Linked DNA regions of Cricetulus griseus. The protein of the gene in region 1 interacts with the protein of each later gene in a pairwise test. Links are inferred from orthologs where the notes say so. Each region holds a gene or a part of one and is shown in the gene's direction. Other genes may lie near its edges.

Region 1 (3,710 bases):
CTCGGAATTTCTTTTTTAAATTGTCTTGTTTGTATTATTGTTTTGCCTGCATACTTGTCTGTGCACTGTTTGCCTGCCTGGTGCCAGTGCCAGCAGAGGGCGAAAGATGCCCTGGAACTGGAGTTACTGAGGCTGAGAGCCACCGCGTGGGCGCTGGACACTGAAACCAGGTCCTTAGGAAGAGAAGCCATGCTCTTAACTGCTGAGCATCTCTCCAGCCCTCCCCAGAATCTCTGTGTATAATTTTCTCGCAAAGTCCCAGCCTTCTTTCTGAATATTCTTAGGTCCCAGAGCCGAAATAGATGCAGAGCTGGGAAGCCCTAAATTCGGACCCAAGACACAGGAATGTCTAGTCCAGCACGAATATGGGGACATAGCCTTGCAATCCCAATACTGAGGAGGTGTGGGCAGGAGTGAATTTGAGGCCAACTCGACCTACATAATGAGTTCAAAGCCAACCTGAAACTTTTATTTTATTTTATTTTTTGTAGGGGTGAGTGGAGTGAGCTCTCACTTGTCACCGTGTGTGCTCCAAGCATAGAGCCCAGGCCATTAGGCCTGGCGGCAAGCGCCTTTACCCGCTCAGCTAGCTCGCAGTTCCTAAGAGCTTCGAACTCGAAATCAGTTAACTCTTATGCCTGCCTCCCGAAACGTGACCAGCGGGACGTCCTATTGCGCAGGCCCCGGCCGCCCCCTGAAGACCCTCCCAGAAAGGGCTCCTAGAGCATGCGCACACCTCAGCGTCGCGGACGCGCCTCCGGAAGCACTGGCAGTTTCGGGGGCGGGACCGGGAAGCGTTTCCGGGGGGGCGGGAGGCTCCGGCGGAAGCTGTCCCCGTGGTGGCGGCGGAGAATAAGGCCTTAGTGCGGGCGACTGGATGCTCCGGTAGGCTGAAGCTGCGAGCGCGGAGCCGTCGGCAGGTACGGCGGGGTGGGGAGGCTGGCGGCCGCGCGAGAGGTCACGGTCGGGGTCACGAGCGTCCGGGACGCGGGTGCTCATCCAGAGCCCTCCCCGGTGGCCGCGACGCGGGACGGCGCCAGCGACTCCGCAGCCCCCGGCGCCCCGGCTCGGAGTCCCGAGGCCTCCAGCGCCACCGGGAGACTTCCTGTCCAAGGTCACCCCGCGGCAGGTGCACGGCGGGCCGGGGCGCCTGGAGGATCCGCCCGCGCCGCGACCTCAGGGTCGAGCCACCCACGCGGGAGCCAAAGCCGGGAGGGGGGACCTCGCCGCTCCGAGTTTCGCCTCTTTGTCACCCCGTCGTCACTTGTTTTTGTCCCCAGACTGGGCTCTGGTCAGCTGGAGTTTCTCTCCACCTTGTGTCCCTGGAGCTCACAGTCTGGGGACCTTGTCTTTAATCTCTGTTTCTTGACTCTGCTCTGGTTCGGGGCCCGAATGTCACACTGGCTTCTTGACCATTTGTGTGTTTTTCCCCCTCTGCCAATGTTGTGTTCTTGTTTCTCTCCCTCCCAACTGGGTTTGTTTAGGCAGGGCGGGCCCTGCCTGGACCTCTGAGCCATGGAAGGTGACTCATGACCCCGTGAAACTCGCCCGCCTGGGCGACATTCTCAGTGGCCCGACCGCAGTCTGGCCTCGGTTCTGACCGGTGTCACCCAACCTCACAAAGTGTTGGGAGCTCCTGGCCCTCACACTGAAGGCCCATCTCACGGTTTAGGCAGCTAGTGAATCCTGAACTTCTCTTCCATGTGGTCTACACAGCTCTCCAGTTATTTGCTCTTTCCAGGAGCCCCAGGGCTGTCAGGCACTGCCTCTGTTTAACCAGGTCAGCATGTCTACAGGCTCAGGAAGGACCAGGTTGACATCTGCCCTTGAGATCCTTAGCACTGTAGCAGAATTTTTAGGGGCAGCTTAGGGAAGAATTTAGGAATTCGTTCCCTGCATGTTTCCAAAGTACCGTGAGAAAGAAGTGAGACACGGGACAAATACTATTTAAAACTTTTGGAATCGAGTGTCAGTAATAGACAGGACAGAAAACAATTTATGAGGTGCTAGAGTCAGATACTGTGTTCAATGTGCACAGAGTTTAGGAGACAGTAAGAACATTCTAGAAATGGATTGGGCACAACAGTGTGAATGATGTAATGTCAACATAGCATTACACTAAGTAGTTACAGTGGTAAGTTTTGTGCTGTGTTTATACTGTATACACACAGCAGAAGGAACTCTGGAGACTTCCGAAGCTGGTATAAGCACGTCCACAGTGCACTTTAGAAACTTGGTTTGGAACATTTAGTTGAATCCCTTATATTGATGCAAGCTCTTAATAGCAGCAGGTTCAGTTGAAGGCTTACAAAAGGAGTCAGGGGACCCTGATGGCTTTAAATCGGATGACAGCAGTTTCCCACCTGTCTTCCCCTCCTTGCCCCTTTGGAATCAATGCAGAAATTTACCCTAGTGGCAACTTGAGAAATGTATTGCCTTTGACATGCAGAGAACTTGTGAAGCTGGAAAAATTCCCCTTTATTAGAGTAGAAAATGCTCTTGTTATTTCTTCACAGACTATGCCTTTGGTTTTTTGTCTGTTTTCTGTTTTATAAATCTTGCCTTCTTTACATTCATTTTTCAAGGTTTTATTTGGGGGGGAGGGGGGTTGTGTTGTTTAGATTTTTTCTTTGTTTTGTTTTGTTGCCTTTTATCTCTGAGTTCCCAGGCCAGCCTGGTCTACAGGCATTCCAGAACAGCCAGGGCTACACAGAGAAACCTTATCTCAAAACAAACTTGGGAGATATATACTGTCTGAATCCTGGAGTAGCCTGAAACTCCCAGTGTGATGACCTTGAACTGATGATCCTCCTACTCCCACCACCCAAGAATTAGATTCCTGTGTGGGCTGCTTATCTGACCAATTAGGTCACCAGAACCCTCAGAATGGGTTTCAAGATCTTACAGATTTAGACATGCTGCCTGAGTTTTCTTTCCCAGCAGAACTCCCTTCCAGAGTGGCACATGTCACTAATAGTAAACCGAGGAAAGTAAGCCTCCTTAGACTCAGCTTCTTTTTAAAGGCAGTAGAGCCTGACCTGAGCCTGGAAAATCAGAAAAATTCCTCAGTGGAAAAGATGGAGAGAAAGCAGTAACAAGGGGGAGGGAACCCAGAGAGAAACCCATTTATGTGGCTCCTTCGCCTTTCTACACCATTGTGAAAGGTTTGAAGGTCAAGGAGGGCCCTGGGACAGATTATTCCTTGGGATAATAAATGTTCTAGAAGAATGATTGTGACGAAATGAGGGCCCCTATGTGTTTTAGAGGGAAGGAGATTGAGATGGTTCTCTTTGGCTCTACAGTTGGTAGTTGCTGGTGGTAATGAATGAGTGGTCAGTCAGTTATCACTAAGACTGTTAGATGATCAATAAGCATCTGTCCCGATGGCCATTCCTGGGGGTTGACCAGGCAGGAAGGCAAGAATCTATAGAAACGGGGCTGGAGAGATGGCTCAGTGGTTAAGATCACTGGCTGCTCTTTCAGAGGACCTGGGTTCAATTCCCAGCACCCACATGGCAGCTCACAACTGTCTGTTACTTCAGTTTCAGGGGATCTGACACCTTCACACCAATACACATAAAATAAAGTTAAATAAATTATTTTAAAAAAAAAGAATCTATAGAAGCATCATTTTAGGCTGGTGGTGGCACACACCTTTAATCCCAGCTCTTGGGAGGCAGAGGCAGGCAGATCTCTGTGAGTTCGAAGCC
Region 2 (3,749 bases), on another chromosome or scaffold:
ATTATTAGAGACGGTTTTTTTTATGTAGGTCTGGCTGTCCTGGCTGGCCTCAAAGTCAGAGACCAGTCTACCTAGTGCTGAGATTAAAGGAGTTCACCAACACATCTGGCCCTACATTACATTCTTTTTGTTTCTTTGTGTTTCGAGACAGGTTTCTCTGTGTGGCTTTGGAGCCTATCCTGGCACTCACTCTGGAGACCAGGCTGGCTTCGAACTCACCGAGTTCCTCCTGCCTCTGCCTCCCGAGTGCTGGGATAATAGACGTGAGCAGGGTTTTGCAATGATCCTGTACGCACTGGCCCTGAGCCATATACAACTATTAAACTTGACTAGTTCTACACAAATACCCCCTACCCCAACACACTCCCAGGCTGCAGAGGTGATTGCCTCATATTCAGCACTATACAAAAACTTGACAAGAACCGGGCCGTAGTGATGCACTCGGGAGGTAGAGGCAGGAGGATCTCTGTGAGTTCGAGGCCAGCCTGGTCTACAGAGCGAGTTCCAGGACAGCCTCCAAAGTTACAGAGAAACCCTGTCTCGAAAAACAAAACAAAATCTGACAAGGAAGTTCGGATGCCACAGGGGTTGAGCTCAGTTCAACCTAACAGCCTAGCTACAAGTACACAGGTTCCTTTTCTTCCCGGTGATGGAAGCACCCGGCGGGCGTTGAGAGCGCGAGCCAGACAGATTTCACGGAGGGCCTGACCTGCACAAACCGGGCGAGCCTGCCAGGCGGGGAAGAGAAAAAAAAAGCCCGGCAACTTGTGATGTCATCTGGATCTGCGCTCGGATAGGCCCTACCCACTTACGCATTGGAGTCTGTAGTAGCCCAGATTGGAGCCTAAGCTGACCTCTCGCGGACATCCAGAGATACGCACTCGAGAGGAAGATAAAATCACCACTCTTAAGCCCTCCTCCCCTTTCCTAGAAGGTCCGCCTTCATCGTGCACCTCGGCTATTGATTTCTTTCCCCTCCCTAGACTCGGCCATCATCTCGCTGGGCCTGGCATTTCCCAGAAGCCCCAGCGCCGGGAAGGAGTTTGCAGCTGCTCGGTCATCGTGCGGCCCGACGCGAGCCCGCGCTGGTGTGCAGGCCCGTCTCTGTGCCTGGTCTCTGGTGTGAGGGTGTAGGCGAGGCCCCTGCCTCGGTCCCCGGACTAGGCCGCGACCCCGGGCGCCATGAAGCAGGAGGGCTCGGCGCGGCGCCGAGGCGCCGACAAGGCAAAGCCGCCGCCGGGAGGGGAACAAGAACCGCCGCCGCCGCCGGCCCCCCAGGATGTGGAGATGAAAGAGGAGGCAGCAGCGGGGAGCGGCTCAACGGGGGAGGCAGACGGCAAGGCAGCCGCCACCGAGCACTCCCAGCGAGAGCTGGACACTGTCACCTTGGAAGGTACGGGAGCCCGCGTCTGGGACATGCCGCGATCACGGGTGACAGCGGCCACGGTGATGCGACTTCTTCCCGGGACCTCCGCGCAGCCTCCACCTACCTCGGTTCCGTGTGTTCGGTCAATGGGGCGGGGGTCGGAAGTGCCCGCCCTGCCGCTCTCGACCCCAGCCGGCGACTGGACCTGTTCTCCAGGCTGCGGATTGCTCTCCTCACACTCCCTCCCTCTTCTCGTCTGGGGTTGCATCTTGGTCCCACCGAGCCTTTTCTTGAGTCCTTCCCAGTGATCTACTCCTTGTACACCCCATCCAACCGATCCTAGCGCCTCCGAAATATTATTGATCCTTAGAAATCAGCGTTTGTATTTGTGTCTAAAGAGGCCGGGGTAACATCACACTGGCCCCTTAGATAAAAGAGTTTCTAAAGGGTTCTGTAGCTCCATCTTCAGCGAACTCCCTAGGAGAACCATTTCTACCCTGCGTTGCTTCCTTACTTCTGTAATTGAAGTAACTAAACCGTCCCGTCGCTCTGTTCCTCCCTCTTGAGGTCCTTTCTCCCTCCGTTCCTAAAGAGTTCAAGCACATACACTTTCACTCCTGAATTTGTCTTTTGGTTGTTGTTTGTTTATAGTGCTTACCTGTGGCCTCGATTCCTATAAGCCACCCCCATCCTCAACTTTTTCCTTCCACATGCCAGTTCTCAGGCTCCTATTATCCTCGTGTCCCTCTTAAGTTGCTGTTTTATTTTTCCCATTTGGTCCATCCTGTCCATGTATGAAGTGGGTGGGGTGAGACTTCTCATTGTGATCCTGTGCGGGTTTCCAAGTACGGGAATTTTTCCCCCTCTCTCTTTGCTTAACTACTTCAAAACATGGAGATGAGCAAGTTATGCCCTGCGAGGTACTTTTGAGGATGTGTGTATGTGTATGGACTGCACCAACTCCTACTCTAAAAGTTGGCAACAGGATCTGTATACAGAAAGGTCTTTTTACCTGAAATAAAAGTAGCCAGGGGCGGAGATGTCACTCAGCATTGCGTGTGTGTGTGTGTGTGTGTGTGTGTGTGTGTGTGTGTGTGTGTGTGTTCGTGAACATTTTATTATGGTTTGTATTCACTGTAGAAATTTTGAGATGTGAGAATTCTAAAGTAATAGGGAGAAAAATATAACCAAAGTTAACATGTTTTCCTGTGTGTTTTCAAGCTGTTCTATAACTGAAATCACTGAAGTACCCAGTTAGGATCAAAGTATTAGTATGTAAAGATTTTTTTTTGTCTTTTTTTTTTTCTTTTAGCATGTCCATGAACACAAAGTTCAATTTATTCAGGAAGCATTTGTTGATTACTCAGTATAGTGATTGAGATTATAGACTCCAGAATCAGTTTCCCTGTTTGTGTAAGTGGGATTAATAGCATTAACTGTTTGTTGAGTTATTGTGAACATTAGAATGCATGTTACTATTTGTAATAATTAGTATCACAAGCACGCTTTGTTGAGTGGGAAATGTGACTAAGAAACTTCCAGTTGATTGCATTCTCTTAATTGCTACATATTTAAAGTTTTTCATGTTCCTTGCTCTTTTAAGTAGTTTTGCAATCATTGTCTCTAATCCTAAGTTTTTTAATCTACTTTTGTAGCTATTTAAATGTAGCTTGGAATTTATATGCCTAAGTCAAAAAGGGTAAACATGTCTAAATTTAAATTTGTGTTTGTATGAGTGTTTTATCTGTGTGTTTGTAACAGTATCACATGTGTGCGTTGTCCACAAAGGCTAGAAGAGGACATCTGACCCCCTGGAACTATAGTTATGGATGGATGTGAGCTGCCATGTGGATGCTGGGAATAGAACCCAGGTCCTTTGGAAGAGCAGCCAGTGTGCTCTTAACACTGAACCATCTCTCCAGCCCCATTTCTAATGCTTTTTATGTTGTCCTGAAAATCTGATTTACATTATAAATGTTTTTTCTCATTACTGTAAATGTTTCTATTTTCAGATATTTAGATATTACCAAAATATAGTCTTTATGTCTTTTATCGGTTTGGCATCCTTTGCTTATGTCCAATGTCCACTTTTGTTTTGAAGTTAGGGCCAGTAGTCTCTGTCTCTCTCTCTTTCTCTCTCCCTCTCTCAGATTTATTTATTTTTATATGCATTGATGCTTTGCCTGCATATATGTCTGTGTAAAGGTGTCCGATCCCCTGGAACTGGAGTTACAGACAGTTGTGAGCTGCCATGTGGGTGCTGGGAAGTGAACCTGGGTCCTCTGGAAGAGCCATCTCTCCAGCCTCCAGTACTTTCTCTTAACCAGTTATATACATTCTTTGTGAAATGAAACGTGAATCTGTTCATTTGTTGCACATATTT

The links. The genes of interacting proteins can lie anywhere in the genome.
Region 2: the proteins of Zbtb43 (region 1) and 26S proteasome non-ATPase regulatory subunit 3 interact in binary tests that used the Homo sapiens proteins (3 or more experiments, as listed by UniProt). The two-hybrid records come from large-scale screens. The link is inferred for Cricetulus griseus from reciprocal best matches to the Homo sapiens genes ZBTB43 and PSMD3.

Annotation. Positions count from the first base shown.
Region 1 is NC_048599.1:145,183,869-145,187,578, reverse strand, and holds the start of Zbtb43 (zinc finger and BTB domain-containing protein 43), read left to right. Parts: upstream 1-780; 5' UTR 781-920; intron 921-3,710. UniProt on the Homo sapiens protein: May be involved in transcriptional regulation.
Region 2 is NC_048600.1:111,764,328-111,768,076, forward strand, and holds the start of 26S proteasome non-ATPase regulatory subunit 3, read left to right. Parts: upstream 1-1,011; 5' UTR 1,012-1,182; coding exon 1,183-1,393; intron 1,394-3,749.